Linked DNA regions of Arabidopsis thaliana. The protein of the gene in region 3 interacts with the protein of the main gene of each other region in a pairwise test. Each region holds a gene or a part of one and is shown on either strand. Other genes may lie near its edges.

Region 1 (4,416 bases), on a different chromosome or scaffold from region 3:
TCAGATTCTGCAGGAGTGGAGAGTTTGTAGACTTACTGGTGATGCTCTTGAAGCTTTTGATCAGGTCAACATCTAGAGATTGATGCTGTGTTGCTGAGAGTTATCGAATCAGATCACTTCCTCTTGCTTTTAAAGTTTGTGTTTTTTTTCCTTCTTCTTGTTGTTACTTTATGCAAGTGTTGGCATTGATGATGATGATGATGATGAATTCTCTATGCTTACTTGTTGGATACTGAATGAGAAAAAAGAACCCTTTTGTTGAATGTATGAAATGTTTCGAGTTTTTAAAGTAAGAGTTATGTATTTGTGTGATTCCTCGTCATATTTGCTTGACCAAAGTATTTGTTCTGTGTTATGGATTTGAAGAATTGGTTTTGTGATCCTAGAGGACAGTGAATTGGAGAGTACAGATAAATTGGTCAAATGAAGAAATTGTGATCAAATGTAGAATGGTTAAGTTGCTTGCGAGGCACACACAAGTCTAATTGCAAACTATATAGGTTAAGCCTTCTTGCTTCAGTTACTATAGAAGACAATAAAAACTAAGTTTTAGTAGTCTCTGACTCTCTGTCTTGTTGTATAGAGAATTAAGAAACCGTGAGCATGAAACAAAAATTCATCTATTTTTATTACTACAACAAAACATTCCGCTTTTGTGTTAACATAGAGAACAAAAGACCCCATTTTACGAAAATGATTCTACTCTTATAAATGGGCTTAAGTGGGTTGTAAAATTTGTAGAAGAATGCACAAACACTTCAACATCTCTAGTTGTCCTACTGGCTTTAAAGAACATCTCTTTGATTGAGATTAATTCACTTGCAATTTATCGGTAAAACTTTAAAACTGAACCAAAAGTAAAAAAGAGTGAGACTAGTTTTTTGTTTGTTAAACATGAAACTGGACATAAAACTGGACAGATACATTCTACTAATATCATGCATTCCGTTAAGTATTTTGAACAAAAAATCTCATCTTTGGAAGAGTATATTATGAAAAATATTTGGATTTACACTCAAAATCATATTCATTTATTAACAATTAAAACTATAAAAAGACATAAGCTAAAGAATTAAAGTAGTAAAAAATTGATAGTTTTATTTCCTTTCCTTTATTATCAACAACATTGAAGTTATCGTCGTGATTACAGAATCCAAAATTGGAAAGAAATGGCAGGATACATATTTGATTTTTGTTGTCGACAAATTTGGACTAAGAGACGTAACAAATCTTGCCAGCTACATGTAGAACGCACCTGTTAATACTGTAAACAATGTCGGCTAACTATTTTGTGCTAACGACAATAAATATCAAAGTAGTACGTGTAGCGTCTAGCTTCTTCTATGAGATAAAACGACGATGGGAGTGTCATTATTTTTCACTCATTTCTTGTATTTTTCTTTGGAACCAAAATGTCTTTTTCCATGATTTAACGACATGTGCTTCACGTTTCTTCATATGTCTTTTTACCGACTTCAACAAATGGTGATGGTATTTATCGAAATTCATCAATTTCTTCCTAAATTAAATTGGTAAAAATACCAATTGTCGAACTCACTCACGAAGATTGGACTGTAAACGGTATAGATGACCGTATTTGCTTCGTGGTATGGTCGTGCGTTGTCTCAAATCGCAAAAGAGCCAAATTATGTTTAAAAAATTCAATGCCATATTAGAAACCTTAATCTTCTCTAATGAATTTGTACGACGTAATATAGAATGAGAGGTTCAAATTATTAAGAAGGAAGTTTAAAAGACTTAGAACCGTTTGCAAAGTTTTGGGAGAGATGATCGGTGACCTATACAATGAGATAATAGAGATTGAGGGATTGAAAATTGAGGGACGCAACCATTACACTGATACGTTGAGTTGATATGGTGATAATTGTTTTTATGTTCAAAAACTTACATAAGTAGATAATGTGGAGTCTCTTTGATTTCTTAACCTGAACGAAAAACCAAAAAGGAGAAGAGAGTGATCACCTAATTTAACGTGTAAAACATGACATTTTCCAAGAAGAGGGATCGATCTAAAAGTCAAAAAAAGGATGAGATAGCGTTTTAGTTTATCATATGTGGCATAGTTAGATTGGCTTGTAAAATAATTTCTAATCCTAAACATGATAGATAGCAGCCTTAGAAGCAAGTAACATCAAATTTTTATAGTATATATATATGGATTCTCGAAACCCTAATCTTCACATCACTATCTTCAAAAACAAGTAACAGAAAAATGGCGCCTCCAACCGCAGCACCAGAGCCAAACACTGTGCCAGAGACTTCACCGACCGGCCACCGTATGTTTTCCCGGATCCGCCTCGCTACGCCGACCGATGTCCCTTTCATTCACAAGCTAATCCACCAGATGGCGGTTTTTGAGCGCCTCACGCATCTCTTTGTCGCCACCGAGTCTGGTCTTGCCTCCACGCTCTTCAACTCCCGTCCGTTCCAAGCCGTCACCGTCTTCCTCTTGGAAATCTCCCCTTCCCCATTTCCCACCACTCATGACGCTTCGTCCCCTGATTTCACCCCCTTTCTTGAGACGCATAAGGTTGATCTCCCTATCGAGGATCCGGACAGAGAAAAGTTCTTGCCGGATAAGCTCAACGACGTGGTGGTGGCTGGATTCGTTCTGTTCTTCCCGAACTACCCAAGTTTTCTAGCGAAACAGGGTTTCTACATCGAGGATATCTTCATGAGAGAACCTTACAGACGAAAAGGCTTCGGAAAACTGCTACTGACCGCTGTGGCAAAGCAAGCAGTGAAGTTGGGTGTCGGAAGAGTGGAGTGGATTGTGATCGATTGGAATGTGAATGCTATCAACTTCTATGAGCAGATGGGTGCGCAGGTTTTTAAGGAATGGAGACTTTGTAGGCTCACTGGCGATGCACTTCAAGCTATTGACAAGCTAAACATCTAGCAGCATGATGATTTGCATGAGACCCATCGAGCGATCGGTCCTTTAAAGTTTGTTTCTCACTTGTTTTTAATTTGTTGAATAAAACATCTCAAGTTTAAGATAAAGATGTATTTGTGATTATGGTTACAAAAGTATCTTCTGTGTTTTCGGATTTGAATAAAATGGAGATTTCTTCAAACTATTTATAAGCCATGTTTAAAAGAAGTTTTCAAGGTGTATTTAATGTGAATAAATAAAATTTTTAAATTATTGACCTCAATTTATATAGAGACTGCACTGTTTTTTTTTTAACCGGACAGCGTTCTACTTACACATGCTAAAGTACGGGCCTTGTCAAAAAGACATAGAAGTGGTAATTAAACAGATAAATTGGAAACATACAATTCCACTTAAATATATATATGGATCATTAAAATCTTAGTATTGTAATAAAATTAAGAAAAACATATCTCAAATGATGATTACATGATAATCAAATTTATACGGTATTAAGATAAAAAAAAAAGTGAAAATTTATCAGTTGACGAGGCGACAATTTTTACGAATCTCACCACCTTGATCTCCAAGAGTAAGGACTTTGATGGAACTCATCTTTATCATGGACCGACCAAACTGAGCAAGAAAAGCGCCGGAGTTTTGGAAAACACTAGCAATGTGAGCGGCGGAGGGATCAGTCAACAAGGCGGCGTCGGAGGTGAAGAGTCCTTTGTTCTTGAGTAGAGAGACGAAGTAGCCACTGTCAAAGGCGAGAGGACCAGTAGGGTCCATTCCGACCACTGCGGAAGGGTTGAGTCTTAAAGATTTGTCGGAGCATTCGGATTTGAGGAAGGAGGCGTAACTAGGGTTTAGGGAAGGATCTGTGTCCCCTTTTCCGGTGAAGTTCAAGAGCCTTCTGCCAAACACACCGCAATGTGCTATTCCTATCGTGTGTGCTCCTATTTTTCATACAATTTCGTTTCTTTTTAATATATAATCGAAAAATTAGGTGATTAAATGAATGATTTATATGAAAATATTAGTGTATCATTCCTAAGAAGATTAATTGACTTTTGAATAATTATCACGTGCAACGCCTTTTCCAAGATTATCCTCAAATATTTGATGGTATATATACGATCGGATATTATACTTTTTCTTGAAGATTGGAGGAAATTAATTTGTAGCATCCCATACACTTCCTAACATGGACATGCACGTGGTCTGATATTCCCGCGATTTTCTTATAGTTTTATGCGTTCTTTAGTTTTATTATTTGTTCCCAATTTTCATTGGTTAGCTTTTAATTCACTTGGTTTCTTATCAGTAACGTATATGCAAATGTGATTACCAAAAAATGATATATCAAATATGGTAAACCTGATAAAGCGACGAGGTCAACGACGTCCAAATCGCTCTCGGCAAAGAGTTTCTGTAGAGTGGTGAAGTTTGCCCCAGCGGATGGTAAGTCTCTGGCCGCCTCCGTTGCCAATGAAACTCTTCCATCAACACGTCCGGTA
Region 2 (6,014 bases), on a different chromosome or scaffold from region 3:
CCAACGACAAATTGGTAAGATTTCAATTCAAAGTTACAAAACAAAGACGAGATAATTAATCAAACTAGCTAGGACAATATATTGTCTCCTTACCGAAAGCTCTCCAACCACCTACTAAAGTAACTAACCATGTTTCAGTTATAATTTTATTTTTTCGTATTCCTATCAAGTATCAAATGATATAGTTAACCAACATTTATATATATATATTGAAATCACTAAACAAACAACAAAAGTAACATAGATTTTAATGGAACTAATTTTCACCTTATATTTTTACATAAGATTTGAAAGTGATGGTTAGTGACTTGTTGGTCGATGACGAATTTGTTTTCAGGTTAAATTTTAATAATAATAATATTTGAAAGAAAGATGAAGCTTTCACGTGGCACAATGTATTTGCCTACTGTCAACTTCAAAAACCTGGCAACTGCTATGCAGCTTCAGAGGACACGTGTCATGTGTTACACACGCGCTTCGTTTTTTTTCAACCTTTTGATTTTGTTTTGTTCTGTGATGTGGGACTCACATAATTCAAATCATCATCCTATTGCTTGCCGCCACGTCCCAGAGAATTTTCCGCGAAAAGCTGAGCTTCTCTCTTTCTTTCCTTAATTTTAGTTAGGTTATGAATTATTTTTGTATTAATACTAACTAACTAAAATATCATCATCACATTACATAAACATAAGATTCATCGGCGTAACGTAAGTAACAGTTAAAGCCCAAATTACAACTCTCGATCCTACTTAATGCATAGTAAACGAATGTTGACACAGAAAAAATCTTGGTCAAGACATAAAAGTAGAGAATGTAAACACGTGTCGAACATCGAGGAAGAAAACAGGTCAGAGAGGGGTCAACGTTGTTAAATGTTAGTAATAGAGAAGTGGTCCCCAGTTTCCACCAAAACCCATCTACGTACTTGTATCTCATTGGATGTCATTCCTGATTGATTTAGAATTGAAAACGTTATATTTTGTTTATTTCTAATTGTTGATTGAATATCTTATAATTTTTGCCCACAAAAGAAAATTATAAGTGTATAATATATAGTTCACTCGAATTTAACATGTCCATTGTCCAATGTAGAACGTATGATCATTTCTGTTTTTCAGTTGCTTTTATTTTAAATTCCCAAAAACCCAATATTGTGTCAAACATTGGAGAATGATGTTCACTTTTATTGTATTCACAAAATGCTACTTATCAACTAAGAAAATTGTAATGTCAAACATAAGATGGTGATATTTTAAAAATAGATGTAAAATTAGTTTAGAACTGTCTGATAAGTCATAAGATTGCACGATTATAAATCATTGAATATTCCGGACACTTGTCAAGATTAAAACCATGAATAAGTTTTCAAATTCATTTTCATCATCTCAATTGTAAAACTAGGTAAGATATCCTTTAAAATCTTTGAATATTAGTTCCCCGGCCCATATAAAATCTCTTAAATATATTTATTTGAAAACTCTGACTGTTTGCACTTGCAGCATAAAAAAAGGGATGAAACAAATGGAACAAATGCAGAACAAAACTAATAGACCAGACAAGTAAAACAAACGAAACAAAACAAGTGTTGAAATGATAACTCACAAATTTGAACTTACTTTTCTAGCAAATAAGAAATTGTTCTAATTAAAAAAAAAAGCATATGCAGTCTCAAATTGTTTCTAAGAAGTATTCACGCACCAAGGTTATATTTGTAGTGACATATTCTACAATTATCACATTTTTCTCTTATGTTTCGTAGTCGCAGATGGTCAATTTTTTCTATAATAATTTGTCCTTGAACACACCAAACTTTAGAAACGATGATATATACCGTATTGTCACGCTCACAATGAAACAAACGCGATGAATCGTCATCACCAGCTAAAAGCCTAAAACACCATCTTAGTTTTCACTCAGATAAAAAGATTATTTGTTTCCAACCTTTCTATTGAATTGATTAGCAGTGATGACGTAATTAGTGATAGTTTATAGTAAAACAAATGGAAGTGGTAATAAATTTACACAACAAAATATGGTAAGAATCTATAAAATAAGAGGTTAAGAGATCTCATGTTATATTAAATGATTGAAAGAAAAACAAACTATTGGTTGATTTCCATATGTAATAGTAAGTTGTGATGAAAGTGATGACGTAATTAGTTGTATTTATAGTAAAACAAATTAAAATGGTAAGGTAAATTTCCACAACAAAACTTGGTAAAAATCTTAAAAAAAAAAAAAGAGGTTTAGAGATCGCATGCGTGTCATCAAAGGTTCTTTTTCACTTTAGGTCTGAGTAGTGTTAGACTTTGATTGGTGCACGTAAGTGTTTCGTATCGCGATTTAGGAGAAGTACGTTTTACACGTGGACACAATCAACGGTCAAGATTTCGTCGTCCAGATAGAGGAGCGATACGTCACGCCATTCAACAATCTCCTCTTCTTCATTCCTTCATTTTGATTTTGAGTTTTGATCTGCCCGTTCAAAAGTCTCGGTCATCTGCCCGTAAATATAAAGATGATTATATTTATTTATATCTTCTGGTGAAAGAAGCTAATATAAAGCTTCCATGGCTAATCTTGTTTAAGCTTCTCTTCTTCTTCTCTCTCCTGTGTCTCGTTCACTAGTTTTTTTTCGGGGGAGAGTGATGGAGTGTGTTTGTTGAATAGTTTTGACGATCACATGGCTGAGATTTGTTACGAGAACGAGACTATGATGATTGAAACGACGGCGACGGTGGTGAAGAAGGCAACGACGACAACGAGGAGACGAGAACGGAGCTCGTCTCAAGCAGCGAGAAGAAGGAGAATGGAGATCCGGAGGTTTAAGTTTGTTTCCGGCGAACAAGAACCTGTCTTCGTCGACGGTGACTTACAGAGGCGGAGGAGAAGAGAATCCACCGTCGCAGCCTCCACCTCCACCGTGTTTTACGAAACGGCGAAGGAAGTTGTCGTCCTATGCGAGTCTCTTAGTTCAACGGTTGTGGCATTGCCTGATCCTGAAGCTTATCCTAAATACGGCGTCGCTTCAGTCTGTGGAAGAAGACGTGAAATGGAAGACGCCGTCGCTGTGCATCCGTTTTTTTCCCGTCATCAGACGGAATATTCATCCACCGGATTTCACTATTGCGGCGTTTACGATGGCCATGGCTGTTCCCATGTACGACGTCGTTTTATTATAAAAATTATCCTTTAATTGACCGTTACGACGTCGGTTTTTAATTTTAATAATATGATGTTTAGGTAGCGATGAAATGTAGAGAAAGACTACACGAGCTAGTCCGTGAAGAGTTTGAAGCTGATGCTGACTGGGAAAAGTCAATGGCGCGTAGCTTCACGCGCATGGACATGGAGGTTGTTGCGTTGAACGCCGATGGTGCGGCAAAATGCCGGTGCGAGCTTCAGAGGCCGGACTGCGACGCGGTGGGATCCACTGCGGTTGTGTCTGTCCTTACGCCGGAGAAAATCATCGTGGCGAATTGCGGTGACTCACGTGCCGTTCTCTGTCGTAACGGCAAAGCCATTGCTTTATCCTCCGATCATAAGGTTTTGTTCGTTTTTTGATAATCTCTCTTGTTTCGTTTATCCATCGTTAAATGTTTATCCGTTAGATCTACGGTTATGGTTTACTCACTGTAATGAAACGAGAATTTCGTTACGTGTTGCGTTCGAAACTTACCTATTAATATTGTTTAATGCATTTTTTATTTATTATTTCATTTATTGGAAATTAGAATCTTCTTTAATGTGCATGCAACACCTGGACGACGATTAAGAATGTTTAATGACTTTTTACTTTTTAGATAGAGGATCTGATAAAGTTTATGAGTTTTAAGATTCTTTAATCCTTCGTGTCACTGTTATCAATGACTATATCATTCTCTCTCTCTCTCTTGTTTAAATTTGTTGTAACAGCCAGACCGTCCGGACGAGCTAGACCGGATTCAAGCAGCGGGTGGTCGTGTTATCTACTGGGATGGCCCACGTGTCCTTGGAGTACTTGCAATGTCACGAGCCATTGGTCAGTTAATTGATTACACTTGACGAAAACACTCTTGTCCCTATCCTAATGTTTGTACAAAGTTTTTCCGTACTTTCAATAATGATGATTATTAACTCTCGTTTCGCCGCGGATTTTTTTTTTTTTTTTCAGGAGATAATTACTTGAAGCCGTATGTAATCAGCAGACCGGAGGTAACCGTGACGGACCGGGCCAACGGAGACGATTTTCTTATTCTCGCAAGTGACGGTCTTTGGGACGTTGTTTCAAACGAAACTGCATGTAGCGTCGTTCGAATGTGTTTGAGAGGAAAAGTCAATGGTCAAGTATCATCATCACCGGAAAGGGAAATGACAGGTGTCGGCGCCGGGAATGTGGTGGTTGGAGGAGGAGATTTGCCAGATAAAGCGTGTGAGGAGGCGTCGCTGTTGCTGACGAGGCTTGCGTTGGCTAGACAAAGTTCGGACAACGTAAGTGTTGTGGTGGTTGATCTACGACGAGACACGTAGTTGTATTTGTCTCTCTCGTAATGTTTGTTGTTTTTTGTCCTGAGTCATCGACTTTTGGGCTTTTTCTTTTAACCTTTTTTGCTCTTCGGTGTAAGACAACGAAGGGTTTTTAATTTAGCTTGACTATGGGTTATGTCAGTCACTGTGTTGAATCGCGGTTTAGATCTACAAAGATTTTCACCAGTAGTGAAAATGGTAAAAAGCCGTGAAATGTGAAAGACTTGAGTTCAATTTAATTTTAAATTTAATAGAATCAGTTGATCATAACAAAATCTTACCTTTTTAAATTTATTTTTTGTTATATATAGGACGATGTTTATAGGAATATTAGAAATGTTAGACTGATATCTTTAAGAATAGGAAAAGAACCAAATATTTACTAAGGAATTTGTTTTCAAGTGTATTTTGTAACTAAACAAGGCAAACAATCGGTATAGAATACTTCAAAGGTTAATTGGGAGGATTCAATATTATAACATTTTTTTCTTATTATGTAAAACGTTTTTTTTTTTTTTTTGCCAACATAATCTATAAAACATGTTTATATAACTCTTCATCAAACGGGTATGGTTCACACTTTATCATGTGACATATTAGAAGATGTCGATCATTAAGACTGAACATTGTTTAAAGTACTTAGAAATCAAAATGATGATTCAAGCTTTGATAACTTCCAACCGTTTCCAACCGCCAAACTTTGGTAACTTTTTTAGAATCGAACTCCTAGCTATCGCCTAACGATTTTTTTGAACATTCTCGTTTTTTTTTCTTTTAAATGTCTTTGCAATTGCATAAACTGGTTTTTTTTTTTTTTTTTTTTTTTTGTCGGAAACTGGTTTTCTTTTATCATCCTGTTTTCAACTTTTATTCAATTTTTTTTTTCTTTTTGAAATTGAAAAACTGGGCTCGCTTTCAAGGTCAGAGAGTTATATATGTCCATGGGCCTATTTAACACTCCTATAAGCCCAAATATAGATATATTCCATTTTTGTCGCCGGCGATTTCCTCACCGTTAAATCGACGTTCGAAATTCCGAGGAGAGGAATCATACCATGGAATCGCACCACGCGTCTCTAGGTCGCCGTACTGTAAGGATATTTCCGATATGGCCGTCTTTATCTTCATCTGAAGACAGTTTCTTACATCGGTGCTTTTTTGTTGTTATTAATTTCTGTGATCTTGTAGTTGGAAGAGATTCGTCAAAAGAGAGCAGCTCAAAGGCTAAGCAAAGCTTCTTCAGGTCCAGATCTTAGTGAAATTCCCAATCCTGCCGGTAATTTTATTCATCTCCAATTTCAATGTTTTGCCATCTCCTTTTCCACTAGCTTTGCAATTTTGATTGACTACTTCATTATTTCAGATTTCCCAGTGATCAGAAAATCTGAGAGCGGAAATCGACTTTCTGAGGTAGCATTTCTCTGCTTATCAAAAATTGTACCTGGTGATCTAATTGGATTCTTTAGAATTGCGACGGTCTTGATAATGAGAATGCCTTAATCGAATCA
Region 3 (4,544 bases):
CTCGACACGTGATAACATTTGTCGGACGCAATTTTCATACACAGCCACAAAGCAATCACCACGTCATCTTCTCATCAACTTGGCTTTCTTAATGGTGCCAAATGGCAATGAGTCAGTGGTTGATCTTGACAACTTTGATTGCTACTTGTCTGAAATGTCTACAGATCTGATTCATTACATTGTATACCAAAACTTTCGTCCATTTCCTTGTTGAAATAAGTCGATGTAAGTCATTCTATTCAAATATTTTTTTTCATGAAGTAATTTTCTGGTTTTAAAGCAAAGTAATAGATTATTTATAATTTTTTTAATTTTAATGGCTTAAGGCTAAAGTGACGTTGGATCGATGAAGCCGCCATAGTTCACAAATGGCCGAATTTAATTTGTTGTTTGTATTTAATAAGTCAAAAGAGATTTCCGAGAAGCAAGGTGAACGTAACCTTAAACTAATCATTAGAACATTAATTATATAAGTTGCGTTTATCATTAATATTGTTGCTTAAAATTACAAACTTTCAAAATCCCATGGTTAAGATAATTAGTGTTTCAGAGCCTAAGACGGAACGGAACTTGTGTAATTTTGTAAGAATAAACATATTAACTTCGTGTCTAAAAAAAAACATACTACACTGACTTCGTTTTCTAATAAGTAATTGTTGTAGAATTTTAATTTATTTCTGTTTATGTAAACTGTTATTTTGTATGTTTAATGCATATATTTTAGACAAGATACTTCTATCCATAATAGTTAGCTTATTAATAGAGGTATAATAATCTTTTTAGATTTCATATTATATTTAGTACTATTGGTTTTAGAAAAATGGAAAAAGGTCAAATAAATAATAGGAACACCACTGGTTTATATTTCTTTTCTGGATTGTGTATACTTTTTAGAAGAAAACTAAAACGGCATGTTGAAAAGGAAACCAAGAGGATAGTAATTAGGTCAGATTACTTGTTTAGTTACAAGAAAGTCAAGAAATCTCATAATTGAGTTTAAAACTTTAAACATTTGCATGGAAGTCAATAAATCTATAATCCTTACTCGTGATCATCTTATTGTTTCCGTGTAACGAAATTAAACGCGTAAAACATCGCGTAAACTATAGTACGGTATGTGATATGCAAATATATCTTAATTTATTTTTTATTTTTTATTTTTCTTGGGCAATGAATTGAAGAGTTGCAAAATTATTTGCCAGCTTACCACATGCGGCCACAATTTTAACCATGATTAATCTTCTTTTGGAATTTAGCGAGATAAATCAAGAGTAGGTTTATTTTAGAACATAGTATATAATACACTAATGAAAAGTCTCGTTAAAACGTGTTTCACGTAACCGACCTCTAAAGTATGGCGTGCGAGTAACGACAAATGAAATCTCAAATGAAAATGGAGATTATTTTAATCTTAATTATAACACACTAATTAACACCCGTCAAACATCCTGATATGTGAACGTGGAATCTCGTTACACAATCGAATAAAATTATTGCTTAATACGATCCGTCTTTCTCTCTCTTTCGTAATGATTATCTATCAATATTATCTTGACTAATAAAAGTATCGCAAGGCCTTGGCAGTCACATGTTAAATGATGATATACGTTGTTGCATGTTAAAACATAGTACAACGATCATCTAGGCTGCTGCTAAATTCTATTTTCAAAAATGCCTTTTATATGCAAGAAAAGCAAAATAATCGAGTTTTTTTTTTTGTTTCATTATAAACTGCTTCATTTTTCTTAGGAACGGCCAAACTGTTAAAAAGTAAAATATGTATGGTGATTAATTGATGTAACCAAAGCCAGTTCGCCCGTTTGATTGTCAACCCACGTTATCATTCACTTGATCACTTCCATGAAACATATAAAAGCTGATAATACTTATATTATAAAGGAAAAAAAGTATGAAAATATTATCAGTAGTTAGATGATTAGTTCACATCTAAATGAAATACGACTTAAACTGAAAGAGACATGAGCCAATTCGTGTCGAGCCACAAATTTTGGACGTATATTTTTAGCCCGTGGTTCCACAATATTTGCAGGTCTTTTTATTCAATGAGTTTATTTTGTCTTGGTTGAATAATGAAATTTCCAAATATAAAAAATAATAGAAATCCGAGGCCCTACACAAGCACACATAGTAACTCCCACATTATATATAAGCGGCCAATATCAGCAACTCAGAGATTCCAGAAAGAAAGAAAAAAAAGAAACAAATAATTCCAAAACCTTCTCTCTTAATCAAAATCAAGAAACTTACAAGATCTGGTGAAAACCATGGAAGAAGGAGATTTTTTCAACTGCTGTTTCAGCGAGATTAGTAGTGGCATGACCATGAATAAGAAGAAGATGAAGAAGAGCAATAACCAAAAGAGGTTTAGCGAGGAACAGATCAAGTCACTTGAGCTTATATTTGAGTCTGAGACGAGGCTTGAGCCGAGGAAGAAGGTTCAGGTAGCTAGAGAGCTAGGGCTGCAACCAAGACAAGTGGCTATATGGTTTCAAAACAAGAGGGCTCGATGGAAAACTAAGCAACTTGAGAAAGAGTATAACACTCTTAGAGCCAATTACAACAATTTGGCTTCACAATTTGAAATCATGAAGAAAGAAAAGCAATCTCTGGTCTCTGAGGTACATAATGATTCTATCGATATCTTTATCTTTAATTGAACAGTGATAGAAACAATAATTGATAATGATCTTTTTTTTTTATAAAGTATAAAATAGCAAATACAGTCTTGGCATTTATTGGTTTTTGGGGGATGTAAATTCTCGATCATTTTGCCTAATTTGATATTAATCAATCTCTATTTGCAGCTGCAGAGACTAAACGAAGAGATGCAAAGGCCTAAAGAAGAAAAGCATCATGAGTGTTGTGGTGATCAAGGACTGGCTCTAAGCAGCAGCACAGAGTCGCATAATGGAAAGAGTGAGCCAGAAGGGAGGTTAGACCAAGGGAGTGTTCTATGTAATGATGGTGATTACAACAACAACATTAAAACAGAGTATTTTGGGTTCGAGGAAGAGACTGATCATGAGCTGATGAACATTGTGGAGAAAGCTGATGATAGTTGCTTGACATCTTCTGAGAATTGGGGAGGTTTCAATTCTGATTCTCTCTTAGACCAATCTAGCAGCAATTACCCTAACTGGTGGGAGTTTTGGTCATAAAAGCATATAAGAAAAAAACAGAACATAAGCGAAGAGAAAGAGTGTGAATAGTTTGTAAATTATGTGTTAAGAAAAATAAATTTAGTTTAGTTTAAATCTTGTTTCGATCTATGTATCTACTATGTTCAATACTCTTTGTAGCTAATTAGTAGCTTATAATGAGACTAGAAAAGTTTTGAAGTCACCAAGGTTAAATTTGTGATTGCAAGTTGGCTCTAAGAGTGTTGGACCAAGCGTAATGATCACAAGTACAAGAGTCTTCGTCCATAATGATCTCGAAACGGACTAAAAATTGACCTAAATTTGAAACTAAGTGCATTTATCTCTATATTGGTGCTCTGCTATAATGCTTTCAATATCCTCGAGATGAATTGTCTATGAATTTTATCACCAAATATCAGTTTTGATCACATTCCGGTTCATCAGCTCAGGTTACTCTGTCACTCCCTTCCTATGAGATATTTGTAGCTGGATTGGCAGATATGGAACAACTTCTTGTAGATGCAGAACTAGTTCCTTTTGGTGTTTGTCTTTCCAGTTTATAAGGAACAATCGAGTCATGATAATCTTCCTATGATTGATGTCATGTGGGACATGTGCTTTGTAACCAGACTCTCAACAGAATGTAAAAGAATGGCTCTAAGTCAAGTCTTTATAGTGTCCTTAATCTTGTAGCAACGGTAGCCCCTGGATCATCCCTTCTTCCTTGAGAAATCAAAGCAAACCAATGTTTCTCTTATGGTTCTGTTCTGTATAATATGGGGGTATTTTGGGAATTGAAGTTTTCAACGTCTCTTTCATATGTTTCCTTTTTTAAAGTCCCGCTCCTGTATAAAGCAAACCCTTCGAAATGGGTCGGACAATATGGGCCTTATCACGATGGGCTTTAAAACTCTTATTCATCAAACTAAACCCAACTTAGAAAGAGTTACCCAACAGGGTTTGCATATCACTTCCATTTTACTTTTTATCTTCGAAACAAATCCAAATCTTGGACCAAGAACAATATCTAGATATTGGATACTTTCAGTGAATAAAATATGAAAAACCACTGTTAAATTTCTATACATACACATTTTGACCTGACAAGATCTTTTACTCTCAAAAGAGATAAAGCTTTACTGAGTGAGAATATATTTGTTTTGTACAAATAGAAATCACACAAATATCGCTGGTGAGGAATTTAACCTACTTTGGTAATCAAAAAAGAAAAATATTACATGCACGCATATATATATAAAATTTGTTTTGTTTAACACGGATGTCGATTGATTGGTTATTTCCCTGCTGTGATAAATTCCAAAGTTCAAGATTCTTTTGTGTTATTCTATTTTTTGCTTTTTCTAGTGACAGAGACTGTCAAAA

What was found.
Region 1: the proteins of HB-12 (region 3) and NATA1 interact in a two-hybrid assay, tested with the Arabidopsis thaliana proteins (one large-scale study listed by BioGRID).
Region 2: the proteins of HB-12 (region 3) and HAI1 interact in a two-hybrid assay, tested with the Arabidopsis thaliana proteins (one large-scale study listed by BioGRID).

Annotation. Positions count from the first base shown.
Region 1 is NC_003071.7:16,296,027-16,300,442, forward strand, and holds NATA1 (Acyl-CoA N-acyltransferases (NAT) superfamily protein), read left to right. Parts: upstream 1-2,083; 5' UTR 2,084-2,233; coding exon 2,234-2,920; 3' UTR 2,921-3,179; downstream 3,180-4,416. Other genes in the region: AT2G39020 (Acyl-CoA N-acyltransferases (NAT) superfamily protein), read left to right, coding at 1-76; AT2G39040 (Peroxidase superfamily protein), read right to left, coding at 3,437-3,855, 4,277-4,416. UniProt on the Arabidopsis thaliana protein: Acetyltransferase that converts ornithine to N5-acetylornithine, which is likely used in plant defense.
Region 2 is NC_003076.8:23,893,167-23,899,180, reverse strand, and holds HAI1 (PP2C protein (Clade A protein phosphatases type 2C)), read left to right. Parts: upstream 1-2,241; 5' UTR 2,242-2,683; coding exon 2,684-3,160; intron 3,161-3,243; coding exon 3,244-3,546; intron 3,547-3,915; coding exon 3,916-4,021; coding exon of another isoform or gene 4,022-4,044; exon of another isoform or gene 4,045-4,153; coding exon 4,154-4,509; 3' UTR 4,510-4,777; downstream 4,778-6,014. Other genes in the region: AT5G59210 (myosin heavy chain-like protein), read left to right, coding at 5,562-5,597, 5,695-5,782, 5,870-5,916. UniProt on the Arabidopsis thaliana protein: Acts as a negative regulator of abscisic acid (ABA) signaling for stomatal closure in leaves, and controls water loss during leaf senescence. Activated by the NAC029/NAP transcription factor during ABA signaling in senescing leaves.
Region 3 is NC_003074.8:22,912,981-22,917,524, reverse strand, and holds HB-12 (homeobox 12), read left to right. Parts: upstream 1-2,131; 5' UTR 2,132-2,285; coding exon 2,286-2,639; intron 2,640-2,825; coding exon 2,826-3,179; 3' UTR 3,180-3,371; downstream 3,372-4,544. UniProt on the Arabidopsis thaliana protein: Probable transcription activator that may act as growth regulators in response to water deficit.